4 linked regions of the Mus musculus genome follow. The protein of the gene in region 1 interacts with the protein of each later gene in a biochemical or structural test. Links are inferred from orthologs where the notes say so. Each region holds a gene or a part of one and is shown on either strand. Other genes may lie near its edges. The genes, in order: Ywhaq, Prkd1, Cdc25a and Mark2.

Region 1 (7,495 bases):
GCCTGCCGGGGAAGCTAGTATAAAAACCTAACCTTGAAACCATATTTCAGGTCCAGGTTTGAATGATAGATAGTCAAAAGTATAAGTTGTCTGTGATTAAATGGCATTTTACTAGTTTTTGTTTTGTTTATTTATTCATTTATTTTTAGGAATTGTTGGATAAGTATTTAATAGCCAATGCAACTAATCCAGAGAGTAAGGTCTTCTATCTGAAAATGAAGGGAGATTATTTCCGGTATCTTGCTGAAGTAGCTTGTGGCGATGATCGAAAACGTAAGTATATTTGACCCACGGGTAAATCCAGAATACATAAAAAGAAGTGGGAATGGGTAGTCACTTGTCACTGTGACAAAATAACCCGAGAAAGATAGCTTGAAAGGAGAGAGTTACATTGGTTTCAAAGGATTGGTTCATTAGTTAATTCTGTTAGTGTGGACCCTGAAGTAGGCAGAACTTCACAGGAATTGCTCATTTAATTGCATCCAAGAAGCAAGAGGGTGGGGATCTAGAGACAATGTCTATCTTTTCAGGAAACACTCCTTTGGCCTGTTTCCTTTAACTAGCTCCTGCCTCCTGGATTTCATCACATCCTGATAATACCATTATCAAAGGTCTGATCCATTGGACTGATCAGTACACTAAGTTTGTAGTTCTTAAAAGCCATACAAACTTTCAACCCTATCTTTAACACGTGCCTTAGAGAGTATTTCATATTCAAACCATAACAGGATAATTAGCCACATGTAGGGTAGTAATCTGTAGGTAGTTTGCAGGTTCTTTGTAACTTAAAAATAAAAAATTATATGTCTTGTCCCAGTGGATGCCCCCACACCTGTGCCCATATGGCAACACTTAATTAGATAGGGAGGGATATTAAGTACAACCAAAACAAAGACAAGCATGGGGATGATGGGGTAGGGGCACTAAGAGTGTTTTGGAGAGGATGATGGTGGGTGGATATGATTAAATTGTTTAAATGTATGAAAATTTAAAAGAATAAACAAATGGTATTTAAATTAAAAAAATTGTTTTTCTGTGTATACATGTTTTGCTTGTGTGTGCTTGGGTGCCTGGTGCCTTTGGAGGCCCTGGAACTAGAGTTTACAGATGGTCGAGCTGCTGTGTGGCCTTGGAATTGAACCTGGGTTCTCAGGAAGAACCACCTGTATCTTAACCACTGAAATATTTCTCCATCTACATCAAAGAAAATAACAAAAGTCTTTAAAATGAACACTTGTAGTGGTACACATCCTTGGTCCTAGAACTTGCGAGGCAGACAGGTGGATCTCTGTGAGTTCAAGGCCAGCCTGGTCTGCATGATGAGATTTATGATAGCCAGAGCTATGAAGAGATACCCTGTCTCAAAAAAGAAGTATTTTATATAAAGGAAATTGAATTTCTTTTTTTGATTGTATTTCTGAAAATGAAAACACTGCAGCATCTAGGAAGCTGGAGCAGGAGAATTGTCAGAACAACCTGGACTACATAGTGAGACCCTGCCTCAAAAAAAAAAAAAAAAAGAAATGAATTTATCCTCAACAAAGTTGGGCTCATGGGTGAACTCTAATTGTGCTTTTATATTACAAGCAGCCTTAATCTTTCATGCTTTGGGAGTTTGTTAAAATTATAGCTCTAATTCTATGTAATTCTAATTCCTTACATAACACTTCTATATTTCTAATAAAATTATATGTAGAATATAGAAATAGGATGTTGCTGGTTATTTGTGTAGGGTATGTGTGCTAGAGCTTGAAACCAGGACTTCACACAGAATATTTACTTTTTTTCAGTATGTGTGTGCCTGAATGCCATAGCACACATGTAGGGATCAGAGGACATCTACCATGTGGGTTCCAAGGATCAAACTTGTGCTGTCAAGCTTGTTTGGTGTCAAGCAACTTTATCTACTGTCTTACTGGTCCAAATAGGTTTTTGTTTAAGTATACTGGAGCTGTGGTGATCAGAATGACTCATAGCCAGATACCTATGTTGAAGTTGTTAGCATGTTGTATATTGGATAGATGCTTTGGCTGTTGTGCTTAACTTTTTTCCCGTTTTCAACTCACAGAAACAATAGAAAATTCCCAAGGAGCCTACCAAGAGGCGTTTGATATAAGCAAGAAGGAGATGCAGCCTACGCATCCAATCCGCCTGGGGCTGGCTCTTAACTTTTCTGTATTTTACTATGAGATCCTTAATAATCCAGAGCTTGCCTGCACACTGGCTAAAACGGTAAGATTGCTGTTGGGTTCATCCCTCTTTTTATGAGGATGTTTGAGAAACTAAGTATATTAATTTTTAAGTATTTGGATGCTCAAGGGAGGCCATTTTCATGTGTGTGTTAGACAGTTTCTCTATTACTGACTCTCCTCCATCCCTACCCCCCAAACTGCACCAGTTCCTGTAAGAATTATACTAAGTGTTGTTTAATGTACTGTGTATCTTGTGATAAACCAACAAATGCTTGTAAATATTTAGAGTGAGTTTCAGATTATATTGGGGGGGGGTTGGTTCGAGACAGGGTTTCTCTGTATAGCCCTGGCTGTCCTGTAACTCATTTTGTAGACCAGAAATCCGCCTGCCTCTGCCTCTCAAGTGCTGGGATTAAAGGCGTGCCACCACGCCCGGCTAAATTTTTTTTTTAAGATTATTTATTTTAGGGCTGGTGAGATGGCTCAGCGGGTAAGAGCACTGACCACTCTTCCAAAGGTCCTGAGTTCAAGTCCCAGCAACCACATGGTGGCTCACAACCATCCGTAATGAGATCTGACGCCCTCTTCTGGAATGTCTGAAGACAGCTACAGTGTACTTACTTATGATAAATAAATAAATCTTTTTTTTTTTTTTAATTACTTATTTTAGCTGGGCAGTGTTGGCGCATGCCTGGGGAGCAGCACTTGGGAGGCAGAGGCAGGTGGATTTCTGAGTTCGAGGCCAGCCTGGTCTACAGAGTGAGTGCCAGGACTGCACAGAGAAACCCTGTCTCGAAAAACCAAAAAAGAAAAAGATTATTTACTTTATGTATATGAATACGATGTAACTGTCTTCAGACACACCAGAAGAAGGCATCAGACCTCACTATAGATAGTTGTGAGCCACCATGTGGTTGCTGAGAATTGAACTCAGGACATCTGAGAGAGTAGTCAATGCTCTTAACTACTGAACCATCTCATCATCCAGCGCCCCCCCCCCTTTTTTTTTTTAAGAAGCAGAGCAAGTATAGCTTTAGTGAGGAAAGGTGAGGCCAGAACTCTCCCGAATTGGGGCATGGGGGCAGGGGAGTGGGACTTGAAGTGAGGAACACTCACAAAATCTTAAACTGGGGCTCCAAGGGAGTACTTCCATAGTGTTACCCTGTAGCGTAATGTGGTTGTACACACGGTTGTATTTGCAGACTGGCTAGCTTCTGTTCCTGAACTAAATGTATAATACTACAAATGTTAACTTTACCAGGCTTTTGATGAGGCCATCGCAGAGCTTGATACACTGAACGAAGACTCCTACAAAGACAGCACCCTCATCATGCAGTTGCTTAGAGACAACTTAACAGTGAGTTGTTCACTATTAACATGTCTGTTTTCAGAAACAACAGTAATTTCGTTTTGGGGGGGTACAGTTATAGAAAAGTTATAGCCTCTTTTTTTATTGTCATTTTTGAGACAGGGTTTCTCTGAGTAGCCTCCTTGGCTGTCCTGGAAATCACTCTGTGGACCATTCTGGCTTCATACACACAGATATCCACTTGCCCTGCCTCCCAAGTGCTGGGATTAAAGATGTGCACTACTACTGTAGGACTAGAGCTATGGTCTCTTACAAAATTTGGAGAAATGTCTTCATGATGACAAAGTATTTTATCAGACCTTTCTATGAAAGTAGAATATAGTATTATCATTACTTTTAGACTTAGTGGAATGTGTTGGTAACAACAGTTAATGTAGAGAGCTTGTCTAGTTCTAGTATTTCCTTTCTTTGGGTAAATTAGATATAACAAATTAGAGATTCTATATGTGTTGCAAACTCCTTATTTTACTAAAAGTTTCCTTGGAGGGCTAGAGAGATGATTCAGTGGTTAGGAACATTGGTTGCTATCTCAGAGGGCCTGGGTTTGAGTCTCAGTGCCCACATAGTGATTCACAATGGACTAACTCTTGTCCTAAGGAACCCCTCCCATGGGCACTGTACACACATAATATGCAGGCAGCATGTCTGTGCCTATAAAGGTTTAATTTTTTTCTGTTGTGTTTGAATATTTGATAGAGGGTTTCTTATTTTGCATTCTATTGCAGTGTGAAAACATGGTGACTAAAAAAGTATTGGGAAGAGAAGAATTTATTTCAGTTTAGATTTTACACTCCAGCATGGAGGGAAGTCAGGGGGTGGGCGGTGGTGGTACCACCTTTAATTTCAGCACGTAGGACAGAGGCAGGAAGATCTCTGTGAGGTTGAGGTCAGCCTGGTGTATATAATGAGTACCGGGATAGCTAGGACTATACAGAGAAAGAAATCCTGTCTCAAAAGAAGAGGGAAGTCAGGACAGGAACTGAAGCAGAGGCCATGGAGGAGTGCTGCTTTTACTCACTTGTTTCCATGACTTAGTCTGCTTTCTTTTATAACCCAGAAGTACATGCTCAGGGGTGACACTTCTTCCCATAGTGAAGCTAGGCCCTCTCATGCCAATCATTAATCAAGAAAATGCTGCCAATCTGATGGAGGCATTGCTTCAGTTAAGGTTCCCTCTATCCGGATGACTTTGGCTTTTGTCAGATTTACAAAAACGAAAAGAACTGACACAGGCTAAGCCTATGTGTAAGTTTACCTCTGCTTATAAGCTAAAGCCCGTTTTATCTTTTCCTTTGGTTTTTCTTCCTCATTCTTAAGCAGTAGGTAAAGGATGCATTAGTGTTCTGTCCTTGTGACAAACCGGATTAGACAACTTTAAAACAATGCTGAGTTTAGGATTCACGAGTGTAAAGGTTTCAGTCCCCAGTAGTAGCGTGGGTGCATTGTGTTGAACAGCTTGACAGGTTCAGTGAAGTGAAGGCCTGCATCTCCCCTGGCAGCCATAGGAAAGACACCTATCAGTGTCCTTCAAGGGTGCTCCCACAATGACCCAGCTTTCCATAACTTGATAGCTCCTCTAAAGGATTGTACTACCTCTCTAAAGGTACAGCATGAGGAGCTGAGAGTTTAACTTAAGCCTGTGGGGACATTTCATACCAAAGTATAGCAAGAAACAATTGAGAAATGGTGAGGCTTGAACTTAGTCATTTTCTGTGTTCAAGTAAATTTGATAGGATAATATTTTAGACTGAAGACAGAGAGAACCAGGAGGGAATGATGCCTTTTAATATAAATAGAGTTTTCCCAGCATCTGGTTGTGCTGCTGTAGCTTTCACTTTCACTGTGTGGTATTAATATTACAGTGTTTTTAAAGTTCCATATCTGTTCAGTTCTCCTGAGCAGATGATGAGTTCATGGAAAAGGAAATCAGGAAAGCGCTGTGTGTTCTTAGATGTCAGCAGAGCAGAGCCACACACAGCTGCTCCTATGAATTGACTGTAAGCTTCATGGACTCAGGACTGTTTACTTTAATAGTGATTTAAGATCTTTATTTATTTGTTTGTTTGTTTGTTTATTATATGTAAGTACACTGTAGCTGTCCTCAGACACTCCAGAAGAGAGAGTCAGATCTCGTTACGGATGGTTGTGAGCCACCATGTGGTTGCTGGGACTTGAACTCCGGACCTTCGGAAGAGCAGTTGGGTGCTCTTACCCACTGAGCTATCTCACCAGCCCTATTTATTTATTTAATGTATTTGAGTACACTGTAGTTGTGCAGATGGTTGTGGGCCTTCGTGTGGTTGTTGGGGATTGAAATTTTAGGACCTCTGCTCACTCCAGTCAACTCCGCTCCACCCAAAGATTTATTTATTACTATACATAATTACACTGTAGCTGACCAGATGCACCAGAAGAGGGCGTCAGATCTCATTATGGGTGGTTGTGAGCCATCATGTGGTTGCTGGGATTTGAACTCAGGACCTTGGGAAGAACAGTCCATGCTCTTGCCATCCCAAGCCTACTTTTTCCTTTTTTTTTGTTTTGTTTGTTTGGTTGTTGTTGTTGTTTGTTTATTTGTTTGTTTGGGTTTTCAAGACAGAGTATCTCTGTATAGTTCTGGCTGTCCTGGAACTCACTTTGTAGACCAGACCAGAGGCTGGCCTCAAACTCAGAAATTTGCCTGCCTCTGCCTCCATAGTGCTGGGATTAAAGGCGTACACCACCACCGCCCACCTCCAAGCTTGCTTTTTCTTAAGTTGCAAGTAGCATCTTAGTGTTGATAAATTACGTTTTCTGAACTGATTACAGTTAGTATTGACAGTGGACATTTTGCTTCCTCTTTTCAGTCTTAACTAGAGACATCTTGGAATACTCTAGTTTTAGCATTCAGTTAATGCACACATATTCATGCTATGTAGCCTTTATCACATATCACCATTTAAATTTCTGTCGGTACAGAGTAATTCTGTTGCTTTTTCTGTTACTCCTTCATGTACTTGGAAATAGTTAACAAGACCATGATTTTCTCCTTATATAGTTCTTGCTTTATTAGTCTCATAAATTATATTTAAACACTGTTTTCAAGGAAAGTGTTTCACTATTGAGAATGAAGAACATGAAATTCTCAGCACTTTGTATATTCTGTAATTACAGTTTACTTGTGTGGAATTGGAAACTGTCTCAGTCTGCTTTTCATTGCTGTCATAAAGTCCATGACCAAAACAACTTGGGTAGAAGTATGTATTTATTTGATTTACATGTTATAATCCATTCTTGAGGACAGTCAGAGCAGGACCTCCAGGAGGAACCTGTAGATGAATGATAGATACTGTCCACAGAACACATGTATGAATATATGTAGTTAATGTGACATTGTAAATGTCTGTTAGGCTATGTTTTAAAGGGGTGATAGATAGTTCTCAGTTTGAGAAAGGACAGTCTTCATCATCATCTTGCTTAAAGGATTGGTGTTTTAAGGGACTTCATGCTTGGATGGAAGTAATAAGTTAACATAGTTCTCTTTTTCTTCTTTTGTAGTTATGGACATCAGACAGTGCAGGAGAAGAATGTGATGCAGCAGAGGGGGCCGAAAACTAAAGGCATCCAGGGCACCAACCTCCTTCCCCTCAAGAAAACCTTTTTACATCTCCATTCCTTATTCCACTTGGATTTCCTCTAGCAAGGAAGCCCATTCGTGTGTATGGGATCAACTGTTTATATAGTCTTTTCACACTGCAGCTTTGGGAAAACTCCATCCCTTGGTTTGTGTTATCTCCGCCTTCCTGGTGTGCAGTTACTGCTGTAGAAAAGTATCAATAGCTTCATTTCATAGAAACACGAGTAACTTCCAGACACTTGTGTAGAGGAGTGACAGCACACTTGGTATTTAAGTAATCTGAACCAGTTCTACAAGTGACTGTGTTTTGTATTACTG
Region 2 (7,495 bases), about 29 Mb from region 1:
GTTGACCCATTTCCTTTGTGCATGAAGGATACACATATTTGCTGTGGTCACTATTAATAGTTAATATTAACTCAGAGCTCATTGTGTGGAAACGTAATATTCAAGGGTCAGCCTCAGCAGAAATCATTTACTTTAAAACTGATCCCTATTATACATATCACAGTCTGTGTGCACCTCATTGTTCTTAATTTTATTTCAGAAATATGTGTAATTTCCTACCTATTATCTACATTTGTTATTTTAGCCCTGGGTGATCTTCACTTTTCATATTAGTAGTCAGTCCAGCATGGCCACCAGGTCAAATGGAACTGCTTCCTGCTATGTAATTGGATCTTATTGCAGCCATGCCTGTTCATGCCATCTGTGTCTGCTTCCATTCTACAATGGCTAAATGGTGAATTCTACAAAACCTAGGATCCTCTCGACCTGAACCCTTACAGAAAAAGTTTCCCACTCTAACTAATTGACATTATAACCCATACTAACAATTTTCTGTCCATTTACAAATGCCAAATTCATTAACACTTTGAGATTAATTGTGACCATGCAAAGATATTTTGCATGTCTTCCATTTACTGGAATAATAAACATTCTTTTAGTAGGGAAGCTTACTAGTCATATGACTTTGAAAGCATACAGTTCTTTTTTACCTGAGGATCTGTGGGAAGCAGAGGGAAGGATGAAGGGGGAGGGGGAAAGGATCTAAAAAGAGTCACTGACAAGAGATAAAAAGTGAAGGATGAAAGTAATTCCATGAATACTAGATCTGTAAAAGACTAGGAATCAACTCATCTGGGAAGTTCTAGTTTGCTTTGTTTTATTATTTGTTAAAGAAATCATTCAGACAGAGTTTGTATAGAAATCATAAATTATTAGTAGTATGCCTATTGCATATAACAAACTTTCCTCTGATTTTGAATATTGAGGCTTCTAAACACTGACAGTGAACCCTGCTGTTTTCCTAAAACTTTGAATGCCATCAAGATCAATGAGAAAAATCTCCCTGTATCTGACTCTGCCTAGGGAGTTTTAGAGTGAACATCTGAAGTACCCGTCACTCCCCCAAGAAACTCACTTTCTGAGCCATCAACCTCTGACAGTACATTTCACTGAAAATGAGACATGCATTTCTTTTTGACTTGTGCTTTGAAATAGTTTAAATGAGCTTTTATCCGTGGGAAGAAGATCTGAATGTGAAAATATTTCCCTGCTAACATATTTTGACTTTTCCAGCCCTTCAACGAGCAACAACATCCCGCTCATGAGGGTAGTGCAGTCTGTGAAGCACACGAAGCGGAGGAGCAGCACTGTGATGAAGGAAGGGTGGATGGTCCACTACACCAGCAAGGACACACTGGTAAGGGGACAGAACTGCTCCCTGTGAAGCGGATGTCCCGGGGGACTGTGGGATACGAGAGTTCTTGGGAGTAGACCTCCCAGCAGAGGCAGAGGGTCTGCAGACACATGCTATCTGGATGTTTGGTGTAGCTGAATAGATACTGAGGTTAGAATAAACTGTACAAAGCAATTCCAGTACAGAAAAAAAAATCTACAGACAACTAGAATGTCTACATCATTTCAAGGACAGCTGAAAAGATGCATGGTTTTAGTGTGTCCCTCTGTAGTCTAGAGGTTCAAAAGAAGCTATGCCTTTTGAGAAGCAAGAGAGAATACTGATGACTGTTTAGCCACCCTGGTGTGTGACAACTTTGTAGTGTGTTTCCTTTCTTACCAGTAGAACCCAAATAGCTGAATAATAAAGTTACATATTTAGCTAGAAGAGCGCACCCTTGAGGCATGGTTCAGAGTTTAACTAATTGACATTTGGTGAGAGCTTCTCATTGTCCTTTTTCTATCTCTGCCCTCCAATAATATTTCCACCATGTCTTTAGATAAGGAGACATGTGTACCTTTAATTGATTATTTATTATTTACACCTTCGTATGGGAGAGAAAATTTATTTCAGGACTCAAGTGAACTCTATAACTTTCTTTTTGGACCAGTTGGAAAATATTTAAGGTATATTTAATGTTTGTTTAGTCTAAGAGTGGCTGTGAGAGACACCAAACATAAAGTTGAGTCTTTGCTCCTGAAAAGATGCTAATGCACGAATCCCCCCAAAGGTGATGTACCAAGAGAGAAAAACCCAGTCATTAAGTCACAGTGATGAGCTGAGGAGCCAGCTGGATATAAGTCTCTAAACTTGGAACCATGAGGGCAAACCTTCCATCTAATGAGACTTATTTAGTGATGTAGCATTCAACATTCTATGGAGAGTAGAAGTGAAGATGCTTAGCTGAGTCCTCAGGGCCAGTCTAAAAGATTAACACAGACAAACCATCTAGCTGCTACTAAGCCCTGGGTTGTTTTGTAGACTACAAAATCTCCTTTAGCTTTTTAAGCAAATAAATGTTTAAAAATTGGGTGTATTTTGGTATTCATTGTGTGCATATGAATGTCAATTCAGGTACTTCCCAGGATGCTAACCCAGTATCTCGGTTATAATTCACAGTCTTAGAAGTAGGTACAAAAACACGTCACATTATGCTCATTAAATAGCTTCTTGAGTTAAATTGTAAGTTGTTTTTGCCTTTAAATTTAAACTTTTCACCATCAAATCCATGTTCCCTCAGAGAAATTGCACTTGTTTTTATAAAGCGCTCGAATTTTTAAAGTTGTGTAACTTCCATTTCAGCGGAAAAGGCACTACTGGAGATTGGACAGCAAATGCATAACACTCTTCCAAAATGACACAGGGAGCCGGTACTACAAGGTGAGGCTGGCTTCTTTCAGTTTTGCCTCATAATGTTCCTTAAGGAAATCGGGAAGTTGGTCCACATCCAACAGTGTGACCATTCCTGGGCTCCCGAAAGAAACCTTTTAATTGGCGGGATGCGGTTTTTGTAGGAGTTCAGATGTGACATCTTGATTAATCTGTGTGTCTCGCAATTGCCAACAACGTGCTTCTGGCGCAGGGGCTTCTGGGGAGCCGGATGCTGGAGAAGGAAGCGGAGGGGAAGCTAAGTGCAGCAGGGTAGCTGAGTGGTTTGGTTTCAATAGAGAGTTGGTGGCCACAACCCGAGACTACGAGTAAATCTGACATCCTCAGGAAGCCAGCACTGGTTACAGGGAGATCCATTCCTCTGTGTATGTGAGGATCGTATCCCTTTATTTATCAGCAATCGTCTGCCTTTCTACATTAAATAATATACAAGTAGTGTCTAGCTCAGTTCCTGTGATACTTCATGGTCTCCGTTACACAGCTATGACACCACACAAGAAAAGGTTATTAGATTTTTAATTGAAAAAAAATAAAATTATTACTTTAGTTACTTTATGCATCCTGCAGTATAGTATGGCACCTCATGTTTTTAATACTTAAATGACTATTAAAAAAAAACAACTAATTTGGGAGTTAGGAAGGATGGATCATTCAATAAATTACTTATCCCATAAGCTTGATGATCTGGGATCTGAGTTTAAATTCTCAGAACACATAATGACAATGATCATCATTGTTATCATCATCATCAATAATAATAATCCAGGCATAGTCTAATATGTCTTATAACCCTAATGTAGACACAGCAGAAATAGGCAGATTTCTGGAGCCAATCAGTGAGCCTGAGTTTAGTGAGAGATTCTATCTCAAAGATAGGTACTAGTTGTACAGGCACACGTGATTTAAAAACAAAACTTCATTGTAAACTAATTGCTGTGGTTTTTCTCAGTGAACATTCCTCTATGTAACTATGCTGTATTAGCATATATAGAATCAAAATATGTTTGACTGAGATGAAGAAACAGTTGAAATACAAAACAGCCATGAGTATCCTAATACATTTTTAAAGATGTTATAATTTGCTTCAAAGCTTTTTAGATTCTTCCATCTGCCACTGGATCAGTATGTGTGAGAGAGAGAGTGAGGGAGGGTGGAAAGATGGAGAGAAGAAATTTTTCAGAGAGTGTGATAAGGCCTCATTATAGAAAATTACATTTTATGCAGGTTATAAGGCCTCATTATAGAAAACTACATTTTATGCGTGTTATATATATTTGAAAATATTTTCTGTATTTTGTAACTTCCTTTCTCATTTAATAATCGGCATGATTTTGGTTAACCACATTTACCATTCTTTGTCTTCCATAGGAAATTCCTTTATCAGAAATATTATGTCTGGAACCAGCAAAACCTTCAGCTTTAACTCCCGTTGGAGCGACTCCTCATTGTTTTGAAATCACTACAGCGAATGTAGTGTATTATGTGGGAGAAAACGTGGTTAACCCATCAAGTTCCCCACCAAACAACAGTGTTCTCCCCAGTGGCATCGGTCCGGATGTGGCCAGGATGTGGGAGGTGGCCATCCAGCATGCTCTTATGCCCGTCATCCCCAAGGGCTCCTCTGTTGGCTCCGGATCCAACTCACACAGTGAGTCCATTGGCTTCAGTCTGGCATGGCTCAGGCTCCTGATGGTCCAGTAAGAGACCTGCTGCTTTCCCCAAAGAGATGATAAAGAAAGACTCCCCGTGCTGGCTTCAGTTTGTGGCAGAACATGGAATCTCTGAAGGGAAGCTGCTATGCTTACTGAAATATGTATTAAATTGTTATACTTATTTTATATTAGAGCTTTTATAAAGTCAAGTATAACCTATATACTATACGACCACAGGTGCCCACAGCTATTGTTCCTAAAAGACACCATTCAGTCAGTTTGAGCTTCACTTGGAATGACACAAATATGAAAAAAAATCTATTTGCTACAAATCCCTCCTCCTTTTCTACCCATGGTCTATGACTGTTGTTGCTGCTTGATCACTTTATCCCAGGAAGAACTTTCGGTGCACTAGTCAAATAGATTCAGCTAGAGTAGAAGCAAGATGAAATATTGAGGTGGATCTTAAAAAAATAGAGGAGTACCTTTATGAAATTATGATCTGAAATTCTATCACAAATCATGCAACCTGAAGATTAACCTGTTTTAACATTATAGTATATTTTATCTGTCATAATTATATTTTTTCTCAGTATATTAATAGGATACACTTATTTTGACCACAAGGAATGTATCTGTATGTAAACTAAGCACTTAACCAGAGGCCTCTACTTTAACTCCTAAAACCCCATTCCTTAATGATTTGTCTACATTCAAACAGAAACAATTTCTAGAAAGTTGGTTGTCTATTAGCTAACAGAATGGCTGCATAATTTAACCCGAGCTCTATGCTGACAAATAAATATTTAAAAACAAATTACAGAGTTTGTAATGTTAAGGGAGCTAATATATTTTAATAGAAATTTTGTAGAAATACCTAATTGCTGTGATTAATGTAAATATAGTAAATATGGCCCACTGGGGTCTTTAAAAATATACTTTAACTATTTCTTGTCTGTTTTTTAAACATGCATTTCCAGAAGATATTTCTGTGAGCATTTCCGTTTCAAATTGCCAGATTCAGGAAAATGTGGTAAGCATGTGTCTATTCATATAAATCCCAGAATGTGATTACTGGAAAATAGAACGTATCACATGATAGATTTTTATTTATCCAATTTTCTGTTTACTTTCTTACCGTACATTGTTTACTCATTTTTCTATACTGCAGAATATAGTACCAAGGGCTGTTGTCATAATAGACAATTGTAGTGTGATATACAATTTTTCATATTTATCTTAGGATTTTGTTTTTTATTTTTTGTTTTTGTTTTTTTGTGTGTGTTTGTTTTGGGGATTTTTTGTTTTGTTTTTGTTTGTTTGTTTGTTTTTAGATCAAAATAGGACATATAGTTTACTAAGAACACAGCAGGAAGGAGGCAGGCTTGGTAGTGACAGCTAGGAGTACCACTGATCTGACTTGATAATTGAAATTTAATGGTTGGTATTGCACAGTAAAATAGATACATTAATAATGTAAAATTTTTATTTGTAGACCTTTTTTAACATGCCATTGCTTATCTCCTTGCTAACAAGGTGTGCTGATAGATGAAAGGGGCTGCAAATATTCTTAGTCACGTATACATGCCACAATATAGATCTCAAAAACGTCCCCTAAATCAGGAACTATGATCACCAGTGCCACCTAGCACAGACTTTTCAGAATTCAGAAGTTATAGATCACATCGTAAGATGTTTTACACGAGGTTGTGTTTGCTTGATTTCATCTTAGTACTGAAGATGGAGTACCTACCTCAGTGCTGTGACCAACAGCATCAACTGCTTGCTCTCTCTACCTAAGACCCAAACAAGCCAGTGGACCATCCTGCTTACAGTGATCTGAGATTGTTTATCAAAAAACAGACTCCATGAATATCATCTGTTCAGTGCTGCTCTTGTCCCTGGAATTCTTGATGACCTGGTGTAAACTGAGCAAAGGCAAGGGTGAATTACAGGAGGTCACTTCACAGTGCAGGTTAAATGGATGCTTGAACTGTACCTCCTGAGATGCAGACCTCAAGACTGCAGGGTTCTGCTGCCCTTGCTTAGACAGAGGAGACCTTGGAGAAAGCGGGCAACTCGAAAGCTTCCTGGGTAGTTCCCAGGGGACCTCAGAGTCCTTTATCCTGATTGTCCACTGAAAATTTTGAAATGAATTTTCCAAGAAATTCTGAGGAGTCCGTTGGTTAGCGTGGCTACAGGAAAAAGGGACCAGATTAATGATGTTCCTTGCCAGAGAGTTTTGAACTCACTTTCTGATACTCCAGAGGCATCACAGACACAAGCTTCCTAGTTGCTTTCTAAGAGAAGAGAAGGAAAGTGGTGGGAGAATGTGGCTGAAAACTGATTTTTAAAAAAATCAAGGTTTGCAGAGTCGAACTAGGCAGAAAATGTACTAGGATGCACAGTACCAGGAAAATAAAAAATAAAAGCTTTGTAGTGTTTCCATGAAATCTTTTGGTAAAAAAGATGCAATATGAAACCCAGATTAGCTCACTCTCTATCCAGCGATTACAGTTTCCCAAGTGGCGATACTGTGGTTATTTATATAGTAGCTGGGATTCCTGGAATAGTTGTGTGTAGCTTAGGTTCTTGTAGAAATGAGAAATAAGCAGGAGTAGCCCCATGGTTCTGGCCTGAAGGTAAAGCTGGATTGTGACAGACATGTGGGCCCATGGGATAGTTAATGAAATTTCTAAATTACTGGTGCAGAAATAAGAATACATAGAATACATTCTCAGATATTTATAGTAAATTCCATTGATTGGTTTTAGATTCCCCCTTCTCTCTATTAAAATGCCCCATATCCAAAGTACTTAAGAGCGGAATAGTTTTCAAAATATTATAGGAATGTAATTTGAATATTATAGCCATTGAAATTTTATCCGACATTTAGAAGTGTTAAATGAGCTTTGGAATGTTTAATTATATTTCTGTTCAATCAGCTAATAGCAATTATAATTATAAAATGTAATAGGATTAAAGCTTGTCTCCCCTCCCCTTCTTTGTCTTTCTCTGGGTATGCACCTGTAGGATATCAGCACAGTCTATCAAATATTTC
Region 3 (7,495 bases), on another chromosome or scaffold:
TGTGTGTGCTATGGCATGTGTGGGGTCAGAGGACAACTGTGCAGCCTTGGTTCTCTCTCCACCATGGGATCCCAGGACTGTCAGGCACATTCAAGTACTCTTACCCTCTGAGCACCTCACTGACGTCATCGTGCCTTGAAAGGTTTACTGCTGTCCTTGGAAGAGAAAAAGAAATAGTTCAAAGTTCTAATCTTACGCCTGTTGCCTCTAGATTACAGTTCTCAGGCGTGCTTACACAGTGGTTCCTTGTGTAGCTGTAGAGCAGAATCACAACAGAAGGCTGTTTAGTTAGAAGCCATCCAAATGATCTTTACAACTCAAATCTTGTTTTCTTACAAAAACCTTCCTTATCAGAAGTTCAGGAACTCTACTGAGATAAAGTAATTATGTGTTATTTTGTGAGATACATGACAATGATCTTCTGTTACAGTGTCAGGTTCAGGTTTTGATTTGGTTTTTGGTTTTTTAATTTTTATTTTTAAGGCAGATTCTTGCCATATAGCCCTGGCTAGGCTCAACATTGTGGCAGTCCTCCTGCCTCTGGGATTGTATCTCACGCCTGTCTTGGTATCACCTCAACAGTTCTCATTGCGAACAGTAAAAGAGGACAGGTGCTGGTTGGTGTGTCGGCATGCCGGTGATCTCTGTGCACTCTTTGAGTTTGAGACTATCCTGATCTACATTATCAAGTTCCAGGCCAACCAGAGATTCGTGGGTTTCAGGGAAATTCAACTAGTTACTAGATAGCATGGAGCTATCCTTCCTCTGCTTAAGTCACAGTACAGAATCTTTTACTTACTATAGGCATTCATATTTCAGTTTCCTTTTCTTGGCATGGTAAAGGTAAATAATTGTAGAGCTTTTAATCAAAACCCTGGTCTCATTCTCTACCTTGGATTTCTTACAGCTTCCATCCCAGTCTCTATCCCTGATGTCTTCCCCCAAAGGAACCATTGAGAACATTTTGGACAGTGACCCAAGAGACCTTATAGGAGATTTCTCCAAGGTAACTGCAAGCAGAGTCACTCTAGTCCGGTGGTGTTGGCAAGGGGTGCTAGAACCCCACTTACCTTGCTCCTTCCTTCCTCAAGGCAGCCCCTGGGTGCCGCCAAGGCAGCAGTTTTAAAAGTAAAAGCTAAAGAACAATCAGCTCAGCTGAACTTGTCAGGATGAGGCACGTGGTGGTCATGAGACTTGCTGGCTCGGTGGTTCCCTGTACGGTTACCTTCACTCTGACCAGTGTGTCTGGGAAAGCATGAGCCTGAGCTATGGTACAGTACAGCTAGCCATGATGGCCCACATCTTTAATCTTAGCATTTGTAAGGCAGAGCTAGACAGACTGAAGCCAGCCTGGTCTATACAGTAACTTCAAGGACCAGGGCTATATAGAGAGAGACCCTGTCTAAAAAGAACAAAACAAGGAAGAACAAGGAGTTTTTGAGGGGGATAAACAGCACTGAGTAGCACTGAGGTGTTCGTCCTTGTTAGGCTTGGGCCAAGATGTTCTTCCATTCTCACTACCTAACTCCATCCTGAGCAACCAGGTGCCCATCACATGAGCAAGTTGTCTCGCTTTCCAAGGCGTGGCCTCACTATTTTACCCAAATTAACCTAGTTCTACTGCCTCAGCCTACAGTACCACACCCACTGTCTTTGTGGTTTTATTTGTTACAGAACCACCTCATATTCTAAGTTGGCTCCAAACTCCAAACTAGGGATGCTCTTGAACTTATATCCTCCTCCCAAATGCTGTTATTATATTCCTGAGTCACACCTGATCTCCTCACTGCGTGTGTGTTTGCTGTTCCAGACACAGTTCCTCTATGCAGTCCTGACTGTCCTGGAACTCGTTGTAGTCCCTACTGGCTTTGAACTCAGAGATCGCCTGCCTCTGCCTCCTCCCAACCCCTAATGCTAGGACTAAACTTGTACCACAACGGCCTGACTGTCCTCTCTGCATTTAAGTGATTTCTCATACTAAGATGAGAATTCCTGATAAAAAAACAGGAGGGGGGTGGGGGAAGGTGCCGGGCGGTGCTGCAGCTACTGCACACCTTTAATCTCAGCATTCCAACGGCAGGCAGGTCTCTGTGTCTGAGGATACATAGAGAAACCCTGTCTTGAAAAACAAAACAAAACAAAACAGTAACAAAAGAAAAGCCAGTGGAGAAAGGAAATGACCTGTGGTTTCTGTGTTCAGATCTAGACTCGGGACTCCTTAGGTGGTAAGACCAGACCCAGAGGGTGAGCATAATCATTTACTAACTTACCCCAGGAGCAGGCTCACCTCGGAGTCTGGAGCTGGACTGCTCTACATAATGAAAACATATCTCCTTAAACAATAATAATTAAATATCTAGATGTTGATTAAGTGCATAGAAAGGTAATTAGCATATAGTATTGACTTATGTTTGTTTCTCGGTTTGTTTTTCAAGCTGCTTCCTACCACACAGGCAGCAGAATAAACCTTAATATTTGCAAGCTTTCACGTTCCTCTAAATATTTTCTGTTTCCTTTTTTTCATTTTCTAAAGGGTTATCTCTTTAATACAGTCTCTGGGAAGCATCAGGATTTGAAATATATTTCTCCAGAAATTGTAAGTCAGGCTTTTGGAACCCACTGCATTTGGGGAGTTGGAATCTCGTTACCTGACAGCCAGCAAATGACACCCTCTTCCCTCTCTCTTCATAGATGGCATCTGTTTTGAATGGCAAGTTTGCCGGTCTCATTAAAGAGTTTGTTATCATTGACTGCCGATACCCATATGAGTATGAAGGAGGTCACATCAAGGTTTGGATTCTTGAGACTTATTATCTTGGGAGTCTTAGAAGGTGGGATAGTGACATCTCTTGGCTGACGGCCAATATACACAAACTGAATGAATATTCCCACCAGTTCCACTTCACTCCCTCATACTGTCCTGTTTCAGGGCATTTCTAGGTGGCATCCCTGATGTCTAAGCTATTCAGTGGGGCCACAAAGAGTTCCACAGCATTTGGGATATTTAAATATGAATGTTTGAGCACCCCAGAGCTCCTGAGTAAAAGAAGCCAGTTTGGCAGCATGGCCCTGGTATCTGTACCAAGGCTCTGCTGTTGAGTCAGGCTGCCTACCTTGGGAAGGGACATGTTGGAACACCAGATTTCTAGAAGGAAGGAGCTGGTCATGCCTGTTTAGTATTACCATAAAAAGCAGGATTTAAATGTGAGTGGGGATTAGCTTCTGACTTTATGAAGTGACATTTAGAAATGGCCTACAGAGAAAGCCTCACTGACATAACAGGCAGGTGGTCTACTGCGCTGCTGGGCCGTGGGACCTACAGACTCCTGGGTGTGGCTTAGCAGGTGCTCAGTGTCTGCTGTCTCCACAGGGTGCCGTGAATCTGCACATGGAAGAAGAGGTTGAAGACTTCTTACTTAAGAACCCTATTGTGCCTACTGATGGCAAGCGTGTCATTGTCGTGTTCCACTGTGAGTTTTCCTCTGAAAGAGGCCCTCGAATGTGAGTACCACAGAGAATAAGGCTTTGGGGCGGAGGCTTCCTGACAGTGGAGAGCAGGGCACACGTCACAACCCTAACACAGGCACCTTTCACAAAGTCACAAGGCGCTCCAGTGCTGCTCCAGTCTACACATTATGTGTATACATGGCTTTTGTGGAAACTATAATTCCTATTATAACATAGTTTCCCTTAGTTGGACTTCTGTCCACTGATTTGTCTTTCAAACAGCCTTTTTTTTTCCCCTTCAAAAAAGGGTTTCACTGTGTAACCCTGGCTATTCTGGAACTCAGTCTGTAGAATAGGCTGGCTGGCCTCAGGGATTTAGGCACCCGGCCAAATAGACATTTTTACGATTAGTATTTATTTTATACTTTTTTTTATTTTGTGCACGCGCAAAGTGCCCTACCATAGTGTGTATATGGAGTTCAGAAGTCAGCTTGGGGGAGTGCTCTGCTGTGTGGATTTCTGAGCAGCTTTTACCCATCTTGCTCTCCCAAACATTTTTCCTCCTTTCTTGGTGGAGAAGGGGTTCAAGGTAGTGTTTCTCTGTTGAGTCCTAAATGTTCTGGAACTCAGGACATGTAGATGATGCTAGCCTCCAACCCAAAGATCCATCTTCATTGCCTCCTGGGTGCTGGGTATAGAGGCCTGTGACACTACCACCCAGCCCAGACATATTTCTTGAATGTAGTTGATGAACTTAACCTTTACGTTTTGATTGCAAATGATTTTCAGGCTTCTCCAGTTCAGTCTTACGGTGATACCAGTTGTAACTTTGTAGTATCACCATGGGTTCAGCCTCTTTCCAAATGACTCACTCTTGTTGGTCCTTTATATTGATTTTTACTTCGGCTCTCCCAGTTTCCCCCACTGTATTGCGTTCTACCGACTAGTCTCATAACGTCCAAGCAGTTGTTCCTTAAGCAAAGGGCAGAAAAGTCTGGAGAGCTTCCTCTGCAGATGTTGATGTGCTGGCGATACTCTAAAACAGCATCTGGCATGGTGGTGCATGTCTGGTTCCAGCCCTGGGGAAGCTAAGGCAGAGGATCAGAAGTGTAAAGCCAGCCTGAGCTGCATGCGATCCTATAAGAAGCACACTAACGTACTGTTAGGCTAGGAGTGTGGCTCATATCAGATAGAGCACTTCTCTAGTATTTGTGAAGTCCTGGGTTCAAGGGCAGGTATGATGGCGCATGCCTTTAATTTCAGCACTCAGATTCAAGGTCAGTCTAGACTACTACAGGATCTCATTACAGTGACATAGTGAGATCCTGTCACCCAAACAACAACAACAAAAAAGAAAACAACCCACCCATTTGAGTAGGACTGAATATTCACACATGAATGGAGATAGTGGGGGCTTGCATCCACTCTCAAATTCTTATTGTTATTTAACACTAACAACATAGCAAACCAAAAGTCTAGCTTCCTGGAGGGACATTTCAGAGTAGACAGGAGGCAGACAAGCATATTTTAAAAACTTAGAATTGTACAAAATGTTCACAAGTCCTTCAAAATGAGGTCAATGAGTGGAAGCTCCCAGATAGAGGACAGGAGACGAGTGGGGTGAATGAGATGTGAGGCGGCACACAGTAGGACACTGAAAACTGTGGCTTTCGTGCCGCTCAGGCAGAGTGCAGAGAGACACGGGGTTCTAGTAGCTACCGGGGAAGTAGAAGGCCTCGGCTGTTTAAAGGCACAAGAAGGAAGACTTCTACTTGGGTGAGAGGAGCAGAATGAGGGGACCATGGACAGAATGGAGAGCACGCTGGCTCTAAGCTATTGCTGCAGATGGTGTCGGCAGCAGGCAGGTGGAAGGAGTGCCAGGACACCACCTGTGTTGTGTCCTGTCCCCTAGCCTGAAGGAGGTGACCCGACTGTGTCCTTCACTTCTTTTCACTAGGTGCCGATATGTGAGAGAGAGAGATAGGCTCGGCAATGAGTACCCCAAGCTCCACTACCCTGAGCTGTATGTCCTGAAGGGGGGATACAAGGAGTTCTTTTTGAAGTGCCAGGTGAGATGTCTGTGAGCATGTCCCCACGCCCCCATGCTGGGCCATTGGGTCGGTTGTGGCTGCTGCTTGCCGGGGTCTGGGGGCGCACTATGCATCTGCTAAGTGCCAGGCTCCTGCTCACTGGCACCTGCTTGCTGCCTTCCCAGCCTTGCAGCTCTAGGCAGAGGAAGCCAGATGATATGAGGCAGGCGTATCCTGACCGTGTCTCTCCTGTTCCTTTAGTCTCACTGTGAACCCCCCAGCTACCGGCCAATGCACCATGAAGACTTTAAAGAAGACCTAAAGAAGTTCCGCACCAAGAGCCGGACCTGGGCAGGAGAAAAGAGCAAAAGAGAGATGTACAGTCGCCTGAAGAAGCTCTGAAGCCAAATGGTAGCAGCCTGAGCTTCCCTCTGCCCCGTCCCTTTTCCCTTTGCTGCAGAGCAGTAAGCAAAGGGGCCAGCTGTACGGTACCTGGAGAAAGACCTGGGCCTTCCATTCCTTGGACCTGTCTCCTACACTCCCAGGTTGGAGCCTAGGGCACCCTGCCGTTACACTCTTCTGTTCTGTAAGAGTCCTTCCCTGTCAGGACTGTCTGCCAAAGCTGGACAAGCACAGCACAGACTGGAGTCTGCAACACCGTGTTAGGCTGCTCTCACTGAGCATCCCATGAAGAAGGCCTTATTGGGTAGACCCTGGCCTGTCACGAGGAGAGAAAAGCCGCCCAAGTGCTGCTGGCCAAATACCAAAGATAGGCTGGAAGGGAGGAGAGGGCCTCGTGGATGACTCTTAACTTTAATTTATTCAGCTTCATCAATTATTTTATTATTGTTTTAATTCAAGACTTTTACTTTTCTGCTTCATTAAGTCAAAATACTGCCATTCTAGGTAGAGTTTTATCATCCTAGGAGCTACCTCTACTTTTAATTTAAAAAAAAAAAAAAATGGGGCAGGGATAAGAAAAAGGCAAACTTGTTAAGTTGTGAACAGCGCAAGGAGCTCAGTCACCCCTAGGAGGCGCTGCAGACCAGTATTGCTGCTACTCAAAGTCAAGGACTGAGATGCTGGTAAGAGCCTGCACCAGATCCAGGCTTGGCTACAGGACATAAGCTAACCTTCCCAGACCTACTTCTGCATTTTGCAGTGTTCCTCGGGGAAAGTCTTGTCTCCACTCCTCACCCCACGTCCCCATGACAGTGGCTGGTGTAGGAGTCACAGGAAGGCACTTTAGGCAGCTTCCATCAGGCCAGTACTGGAATGCTGTAGTGTGCCCCAAGGTGGAAGAGGGGGGGCATGAAAGAGTGGAGTCCACAGAGTGAGGGAGGAGCATGCCCACTGAATGTCCTTTTAAAAAAAAAAAAGTCATTTTATGAGTCGGAATATCCAATCAGTGTTGGGTGGGCACCCAAGGGTGAGCAGGGGGGCGGGAAGCCCAGGCTGTTATGTATCCTGGCCTACAGACAACTGTGGAATTTCTCAGGAGGGCGTAGTAAATTTTGAAGTCAAAGGTTCAGAGTTTATCATGTTTTAATTTGAGGGTCAGAGAGTGGTGAATCACATCAGTTACCCCCTAATCTAATCCCATGGAAGTGAGGCTCTCGGAAACACCTCTCGTCTGAGGGGCCAGGCTGCTTTGATTCTGCACAGCCTGTTTTGGTGCCTGCCTGTTGATATCCTTGGACACCAGCCTCTCTGCTATCTTTGCTCCATTGGGGTCTAGCCAGGTTTTTCTTAGGAAGAGTCTCCCCTCTTCCCTCTGCTTTCTATTCTGGGGGCGGGGAGGGAATCAGTGATATTGAAGATGGCTAGTTGCTTTGTTATGGGTTTGAGTTGCATTTGGCTATTAAACAAATCTTGTTTGAAAATATGTGGAGAGCAAGGGAATGAGCAGCCCCTTCCCTGGCGTGTTGAAGTATGTCCCAGTTGGTCCCTGGTCTGGTTTGTAGAGATTCTGTTAGCTGAATGCTTTCCAGGAGAATGGCTTGCAGATTGTACCAGCA
Region 4 (7,495 bases), on another chromosome or scaffold:
TCAGACCTTGCCCTCTTCTACACCCATGCAAATCTAGCCTCAAAACAGCAGTCGGTGCCTCTGCAGGGGAGAAGGGGCCTGAGTCCTTGATTTTCAGCACCGAGCTCCTCTGCCAGCTCAGAGTCCAAACCGTTGAACTGGCCTGGTGACCAGAGAGGTGCTCCACAGGGATACTGTGTCCTCTTTTGACATCAAGATGTCAGAGGGCCTACCCTGATGATAGGCCTTTCTTTCCTGAGTCTCTGAGGTAGTAACAGAAGAAACCACCCACACCTATATATAGCTGATGCCAATTTTAATCAAACCCACTCCCACACACTCATGTTCCCTTTGTAAAACAAAATCAGGGGCTCCAAACCATCCATTTCCATACTGAGAGATGACAGAGATGAACCTCTTCCCCTGCAGGCAACAGACAACTAAAGGAGGGTTCTGAAACTTCCCAGGCTTCATCACTCATACAAGGAACAGAACTGGTTGGTTGGTTGGTTGGTTTGTAGGGACATGGTGGTTTGTCTGGGGCCCTAATTCAGGATGTAGTTTATAGAATAGTTAAAAAAATGGCTTCCCCCGGGCTGGAAAGATGGCTCAGTGGTTAAGAGCACTGACTGCTCTTCCAAAGGTCCTGAATTCAAATCCCAGCAACCACATGGTGGCTCACAACCATCCATAATGAGATCTGACGCCCTCTTCTGGAGTGTCTGAAGACAGCTACAGTGTACTTACATATAATAAATAAATAAACAAACCTTTAAAAAAAAATTTTGGCTTCCCCCCTTTAATGTTGTCCCAGAGCTTTGGTTGACTGCAACAAGAAACTTGATCCAACCTTCCCACTTCATCAGAGCCCACCCAGGCTTTTCTTGCTCCTCTTTCACCTAACAGTATGCTGGTAAAAAAAAAAAAAAAAAAAAAAAAAAAAAAAAAAAAAAAAGCAAAGGCTCTTGGCCACCATCTCAGAGTGACCAATGGGGACAGACCTGAGATGGTACTCAGAGCCGGTAGTCACTTTCCCATCCTCTAACATATCCATTTGGTATGGGAAAGCCTAAGCCTAGAGCGGCCAATGTCTTTAAAAACTCCAGTGTTAAGTAAGGAACACTGCTAAGAAGAAATGTAAGCAGAGTTAACTGGCCTGAATGAGACTGGTTTTACTAACAAAGTATGTAAAAAAGGGTTTTTTAAATGGCTTTATTTCTGCATCTTGGGGATGGAAGCAGGAGGAACAGGCGTTAAAGGATATCTTTAGATACATGGTGAGCTCAAGAGTAGCCTGGGTATATAATATCCTGTTTCAAAAAAGAAAACAAAAACAAAAAAACAGAACCCCTCTATTTGTCTGGCACAATCAATCAGAAAGAAGTGGGGAGAAAAAAGAGGTAGGGAATGAGATGGCTTGGTTGTCAATGGGAATGAACAGAGTAAGCAACAATGAACAGTAAGCCGCTATGCTCCAAGGCCTTTGCAGGGCTGCAGCCAGTGTAGCAGGGACATGTGTCCTCCTTTTTTCTCCACAAGCTCTGATAACAACCTGGTGACGATCGCATTGCTTCTGTTCTAACAAAAACCCTTCAGGGATAATACAATTTGTAAACACCTTAAATCTAGCTGTTAGCATGCCAATGAAGCCACTTTATCAATTCTGATTCGGGGAACAGCGCCCTCTGTAACATTCTCTGGCTCCTCATCCTTTTTCCTATCACTGTGGCTATTTACCTGGTTATGCCCCTCTAATTCAGCCACTGTAATATGCTCATGAAAAAACTTGCTTGGCCCTAAGAACCAGGTCTTAGAAAAAGTGAGCAGGGGTTAGATACAGTAGAAAAACCAAAGGAAATCTGATTAACCTGGGTAGCACCCCATACCCCCAACCCCTTCCCCGTCTTCTAACCGCCTTCAACCCAGGAGGATGAGGGACAGTGCTTCCAGTACTGCAAGTTGCCCCTTCTTTTCTCATGCACACGTTTCTTTGGCACAGGGGTTATGTCTCTATTTGGGGGTTCTCCTACAACCCAAGGAAGACCTTAGTTAACAAGGGAAGAAAAGTTCAACTTTACCTAGCTAAAGCTGCTTACTCACAAAATGAGTATTCAACAAGAAAGCCTAGAAATTGGGGATAAAGCAGAGTGCCTTTAATCTGTGCACCCTGTCACACACAGGCTTAGAACTCAAGTCTTCCAAGCTCCTCTCTTAAATGGAGCCTGCAGAGATCCAGGGGTAGGCTCTGCTTCTTTAACCTGAACTTCTAGGGCCACTCCACTGGGTCACTCAGTGTCTGGGTCTGCATATACCTCTAGCAATGCTATAGACGTGTTTCTGCAGAGACCTGGACACAGGCCAGGAGATAACATGATCAGGAAGTAGGTCAGACCGGACCAAGTAGCTGGAAGACTTCAGAAGAGCCCTTGCTTGTGGCCAGGAGGCCTACTGGATAGAATTACCACAGGGAACCCAACCAGAACCATAGGTAAAGGGCATAAGTTTTTTTGGGTGTTTGTTTTTCAAGACAGGGTTTCTTTGTGTAGCACTGGCTGTCCTGGAACTTGCTCTGTAGACCAGGCTGGCCTCGAACTCTGAGATACTCCTGTCTCTTATACCACCACCACCTGGCTTGAAGGGACTGTTGAGTCTTAAGGAAGCGATTTTGTGGGCTTGTCCTTAGGAAGGGATGGGAGGCACAGGGTGGGGACTCACTTTCTGTAGGCTGGAGGAGTTCAGCTGGGTCTTGTCGATGATCTTCACAGCTACCTGAACAGGAAACAAAAAGCCCAAGATCACTTTCTTGAGCAGACTGAACCAGGACTTGGTGCTACTTTCTCCATCGAATTTTCTACTCCTTTACATGCTTGGCCCTAGCATAGCTATCAGATCTCACTTCTGCAGATAAACAAGAGGCTAACTGTAGGAACAGTCTCAGCACTGCCTGCTGGGAGTGTCAACAGGCTAGGAGCTGCTACCATGGCCCCAACCCCAGTGCTCACCTCTTTCCCCGTCAGGATGTGCCGGGCCAACTTCACCTTGGCAAAGTTACCCTTGCCAATGGTCTTAAGGAGCCGGTAGTTGCCAATATGGGGCTGCTCGTCAGCAGAGGTGGCTGAGTTGCGGCCCCGCAGCATGTTGGACTTACTGCTGGGCTTGGAATCAAGGTGTCCCAAGGTGGGCTGCAGGGTGGAAACAGACACGCCTTTACAGGCTGCCCCTCTAGTTCTGTCTACCACTACCCTCCACTCTGAAGAAACGGCAAGAGTCTGGGTGCAGGGGCAGACTCCAAAGCAGACTGGCAGGAAATACAAGGAATCATAAGGCAGGGGAAGAAGACAGAGAAGGGAAGGCATCACAGCCAGTTTTCACTGCAAAGGCACATAGCATAAGGTTCAGGGCTAAATCCTGTACACAGCAGCGCTCAGGACCAGAGCTATCTCTCATCAGCACCACCAACCACGATTAGCCCCCAGTAGTAACCTAGTGGAGTCTCTGCCCTCATCATAGCTGGGAGACCTTGTCTCTGACTGCCCTGCTCACACTCCAAGAATGCTGGTTCTCAGTTGCAGGAACACATGGTCTAAACACTACAAAGTTCTCATCACCCAGGTCTTAGCATCAACGTCTACTATTTATTCTTTACATTTGTTTATTGATGTGTCCAGTGAGATTGGAAACCCACGAAGACAGTCTATAATATTCTTTATTCACTGACACATCACATCGAACACCTGACAGTACTCAGAGAATCACTGTCCAACAAATAAATACAACAACTGCTCTGTGTAGTGCAGCAGCCTGCCCTGCCCTGCTCTCCTTTCTGTATTCAATGGTGCAAATGAGCCGAGAAGCCACAATAGTTACATACAAAGTGCATAGTTTCAATGAAAATAGGTATGAAGACGGTCCTGTGCACCAATGGTCACTGAGAATGGTCATACTTCTCAATGCTAGCGGGGAAACAAATCAACAATCAACTGATGAATGTGACACCACAGTAGAATAAGAACTCGTCATATGGAAGGAAGCACTGATACTGCTGCTCCAAAGAATCCCCAAGAGACAAAGAAGCTGGCCACAAAGGACCGTCTTCTTTGACTCTATCTTTGACTATATAGAATATACAAAGCTAGAGAGGCAGATGCAGAGTCATAGTTATCTAGAGGGACATTTGAGGTGACAGGTAAAGAGCATGGTGTTTCTTTGGGGATAACGAAAATGTTTTGAAAGCAAACAACACAAAATGTAATAAAAGCCACTCATCTGTACTTGGAATGGGTGAATTATACTCCAGTGTCAAGGGGAATTACCACCCCCCTACCCCTCACCCCGCTTTGAATCCTGATTCACCTCTCAGAACATCTGAGCACACTGCCAAGTTGGTTCCACAGCCTGAGCCACAACCAGGCAGAGCCACCTTGTCTTCAGGGAGACAGCGAGGAGGGCAGCAGGGTGACTGGAGATGACGGGCCCACTTTCTTCCCTCAGATCCCTTCAGACTCGAAGGGAAGCCTTCAGAAGCCACAGAGAAAAGGCGTGACTTCAACACAGGGAACTGCCTGAAGTTCCTTGGCAAGAAGTGTGTGGGCTTTACAAAATTCCCTTTTCTCTAATGTGTCAATCCAGGGCCTTTGTGCAGCAGCTGTGTGCTAGTTTTCCTGATTTGCTAACTCAGACCCCAGAAGCCCTTGCACATGGACAACCGTGAAGGTCCCCTTGACCACTATGTACAAACCTAGAGAGGCAGATGCAGATTCAAAGTTATCTAGAGGAAATGTCATCTCTGTGACAATTCCTTAAGTCCCACTGTTGTCAATCTGTAGCTATCCACAGCAGAGGATGGACAAATAGATTTTTTTTTCAAGAATCTGCTTCAGAAACCGTCTCCAAGGAACCCTGTGACTCATACTTGGGGGAAAAAAAAAGGCAGTTCTATCTGCAGCTACTTCTAAATGATACTTTGAGACCATCCACAGGTCTCAGAAGCCTAGCTTTAATGTCTAGCACTGCTATTCAGTGCTCCCCCTGCCCTCAGGGCACCAACAACTGGAAACCTCCCCTCTGCCTCAGCTGCTAAGTGGGCGCATTCCTTGGCAATTTTCTTTTTTGTGGTGCTGGAGATTAAACCTGAGATCTCTCATATACTAGGCAAGTGTTCTACCAATCTAACACCAGACCCTTTCCTTAACAACTTAAAAAAAATTCTGTGTGTGTGTGAGTGCTTCAGTTTATGCAGCACATGTGTGGATAAGCCCACTGAAGTCAGAAAGGGTAACTGGATCCTCTGGAGCTACAGTTGTAGGCAGTTATAAACCACTATTTCATCTGAGGTCCACTCCAATAGCAAGACACGCTCTTAGCCACTGAGCTGCTGCTCTACCCCTTGGTAACCTTTACTGTAAGTTCCTGTGACACCCCTTTCCCAAGGGCAGAAACCAAGGACAGCAGGAACTTTGTAGGGCTGAAGCCCAAGAACCTAAAATTCTCACACTAAATAAACATAAGAAGCTGGATCCTTTGCCTCTCTGAAGCACAAGCTAGAAAGCTCCAGCCAGGTTTCCCCTGGGCTCACTGTTACACCTCAGGCAGTAGCATATCAGCCTGCCGTGTGCTGGCTTCCTTATGGGTTAGGATGAGCAGTGTAGACACAAACTCCCAGAGTTCAGACCCTAACTGCTACTCAGCTCAGGTTAACTTTCTTGCTATCAACTTCTTCCTGAAAAAGGCGAGAGCGTTCCACCCCAAGATGACCTGTGCTGGCGTTCATGCGGGGGTGGGGGTGGGGGTGGGGGTGGGGGGTGGTGTTGTCCAGCATACAGAGGAAGGTTCCAGCCCTAGCTCCTCACGTTAGTTTCCTTATCTGTAAAGTGGCAATAAAACATTTCCTACCTTTCACTGGCAAATGAGAGAACATTTGTCAACTGTTTTATCCTATGTTAAATAAAGAGCAACCATCAGGCAGCCTAAGTTATAGAGAAAGGCTGGCCAAGGCTGTAAAATGGTTTTTGTTTTTAAGCAACTATTATGTCTCCAAATTATGTCTTAAGTCCTCAGTAACCTTTTGGACTCAAGCTGAGTCTGCTAAGCCAAATATAGTCTCACAGAAATGTTTAGGGGTGACAAGGGTTCAAACTAAGCCCCCTGCTAATCTCCAGGCCTGGTGAAATCCAATCAGAGCTGTTTGTTGACTATCACAGGCTTTCTTAAGAAGAAAGGAGAGGTGCCAGGCACTCAGGTAGGACACCTGTGAAAGGCTGGTCCCCAGCACAGAGGAGAAAGGGCTCTTCATTAGGACCCAAGGAAGTAAGCCAGCTCTGAAATCTGCTCCATGGTTCCCTGTTCCAGTCAACAAACCCCTCGTCAGATCTGAGCTCTCAGGACTTAATCCAGTATTTCTCTGACACCACTATTTCTTCATTACACAAGATACTTTCTAGCAGAGAAATGGGGACAGGGTGAGGACAACCCATTGGGAAGAGCATGGAAAGATGGTAGAAAGTAAAACTGCGCAGGCACTGCTTCTTGAGCCAAGGACCCATGTAAGGTAACTCCCACCCTCTCCTGCTGCTGCTCTGGGGTAAGAGTGGGGTGGCCATTATGGAGAGCCTAGCGTTCTTCTGGACCACAGAACAGGATCTGGCTAAGTGCTGCTCCCTCCCCATGCTCAGGCTCACTGTCTACAGCAGGATGTAGACCGTCAGAGCTATGACCCATGTATACCCTAGCCAGGCCCCTAGCTTCCTCAGTAAAAGAACCCCTGTGGCTCTCAAGTCGTCTTCATAGTTTCTAAGTAGCCCTAATCTAGAACAACAGCCAAAAGCTCTCTGGGGTTAGTGATGGACAGACGTCAGAATCTTCCACCTACTGAACCCACCCAGACTTTCAGACTGGGAGCTTATGGTGCCAGAAGATAGCCTCCACCCCAGAGGTCAGCATTGACTCGGTAAGGCAGGGTCCCCTGCCCTAATACTGGCAGCTGCCATCAACTGTTCTCCTCTTAAAAAGCCATGCTCTGGGGGCTCCCCCAGGGCCAGCCCTCCAGTGTACCATGGCTTCTGCAGACTGGGAAGGGCCAGACTAGTGCTGGGCATGGGGGTGGGGGAGCAGGCACTTCCTGGCCAAACAGAGTAAGTAAGCTTAAGGGAGGCGGAGGAGTAAAGAAAGGGCCCTTTGGGCTCTTGTCCTTGGTCCCAGGTGGACTCCCACTACGATACCCCTTTTTTATAGCCTGTTTCCTTTCCTCTGGCTGGTGAGGCCAAAGATCTTTTGGTATCTGCCTGTTTTCCTTTTCTCCTTCATAGCCAATGTCTCTTCGACATCCAGATGCCCTTCCAGAGAATCTGACTGCCTGGTGCCAGTACCCAACTCCACTTAGCAACTCTTCCAAGATTTTGTTCAAAGGATAGCCCCAGGGGCAAAATGGGGAAAACATACCCAGCCGGAGAAGGGGACAAGGACTACCAGCGACTTCCATTCAGCAGAACCTGTCAGGCAGCGAGGGCAAAGTACAGAG

Evidence for each region.
Region 2: the proteins of Ywhaq (region 1) and Prkd1 form a complex in vitro, tested with the Homo sapiens proteins (2 studies listed by BioGRID). The link is inferred for Mus musculus from reciprocal best matches to the Homo sapiens genes YWHAQ and PRKD1.
Region 3: the proteins of Ywhaq (region 1) and Cdc25a form a complex in vitro, tested with the Homo sapiens proteins (2 studies listed by BioGRID, with this or other methods). The link is inferred for Mus musculus from reciprocal best matches to the Homo sapiens genes YWHAQ and CDC25A.
Region 4: the proteins of Ywhaq (region 1) and Mark2 form a complex in vitro, tested with the Homo sapiens proteins (2 studies listed by BioGRID, with this or other methods). The link is inferred for Mus musculus from reciprocal best matches to the Homo sapiens genes YWHAQ and MARK2.

Annotation. Positions count from the first base shown.
Region 1 is NC_000078.6:21,391,019-21,398,513, reverse strand, and holds part of Ywhaq (14-3-3 protein theta), read left to right. Parts: intron 1-149; coding exon 150-273; intron 274-2,068; coding exon 2,069-2,232; intron 2,233-3,453; coding exon 3,454-3,549; intron 3,550-7,098; coding exon 7,099-7,158; 3' UTR 7,159-7,495. UniProt on the Homo sapiens protein: Adapter protein implicated in the regulation of a large spectrum of both general and specialized signaling pathways. Binds to a large number of partners, usually by recognition of a phosphoserine or phosphothreonine motif.
Region 2 is NC_000078.6:50,385,188-50,392,682, reverse strand, and holds part of Prkd1 (serine/threonine-protein kinase D1), read left to right. Parts: intron 1-1,233; coding exon 1,234-1,357; intron 1,358-2,695; coding exon 2,696-2,773; intron 2,774-4,150; coding exon 4,151-4,430; intron 4,431-5,414; coding exon 5,415-5,467; intron 5,468-7,467; coding exon 7,468-7,495.
Region 3 is NC_000075.6:109,886,341-109,893,835, forward strand, and holds part of Cdc25a (M-phase inducer phosphatase 1), read left to right. Parts: intron 1-907; coding exon 908-1,006; intron 1,007-2,533; coding exon 2,534-2,596; intron 2,597-2,691; coding exon 2,692-2,790; intron 2,791-3,302; exon of another isoform or gene 3,303-3,370; coding exon 3,371-3,501; intron 3,502-5,404; coding exon 5,405-5,516; intron 5,517-5,738; coding exon 5,739-5,879; 3' UTR 5,880-7,495. UniProt on the Homo sapiens protein: Tyrosine protein phosphatase which functions as a dosage-dependent inducer of mitotic progression. Directly dephosphorylates CDK1 and stimulates its kinase activity. Also dephosphorylates CDK2 in complex with cyclin-E, in vitro.
Region 4 is NC_000085.6:7,287,622-7,295,116, forward strand, and holds part of Mark2 (serine/threonine-protein kinase MARK2), read right to left. Parts: exon of another isoform or gene 7,417-7,495; intron 4,495-7,416; exon of another isoform or gene 4,333-4,494; intron 3,162-4,332; coding exon 2,982-3,161; intron 2,749-2,981; coding exon 2,695-2,748; intron 1-2,694. UniProt on the Homo sapiens protein: Serine/threonine-protein kinase. Involved in cell polarity and microtubule dynamics regulation. Phosphorylates CRTC2/TORC2, DCX, HDAC7, KIF13B, MAP2, MAP4 and RAB11FIP2. Phosphorylates the microtubule-associated protein MAPT/TAU.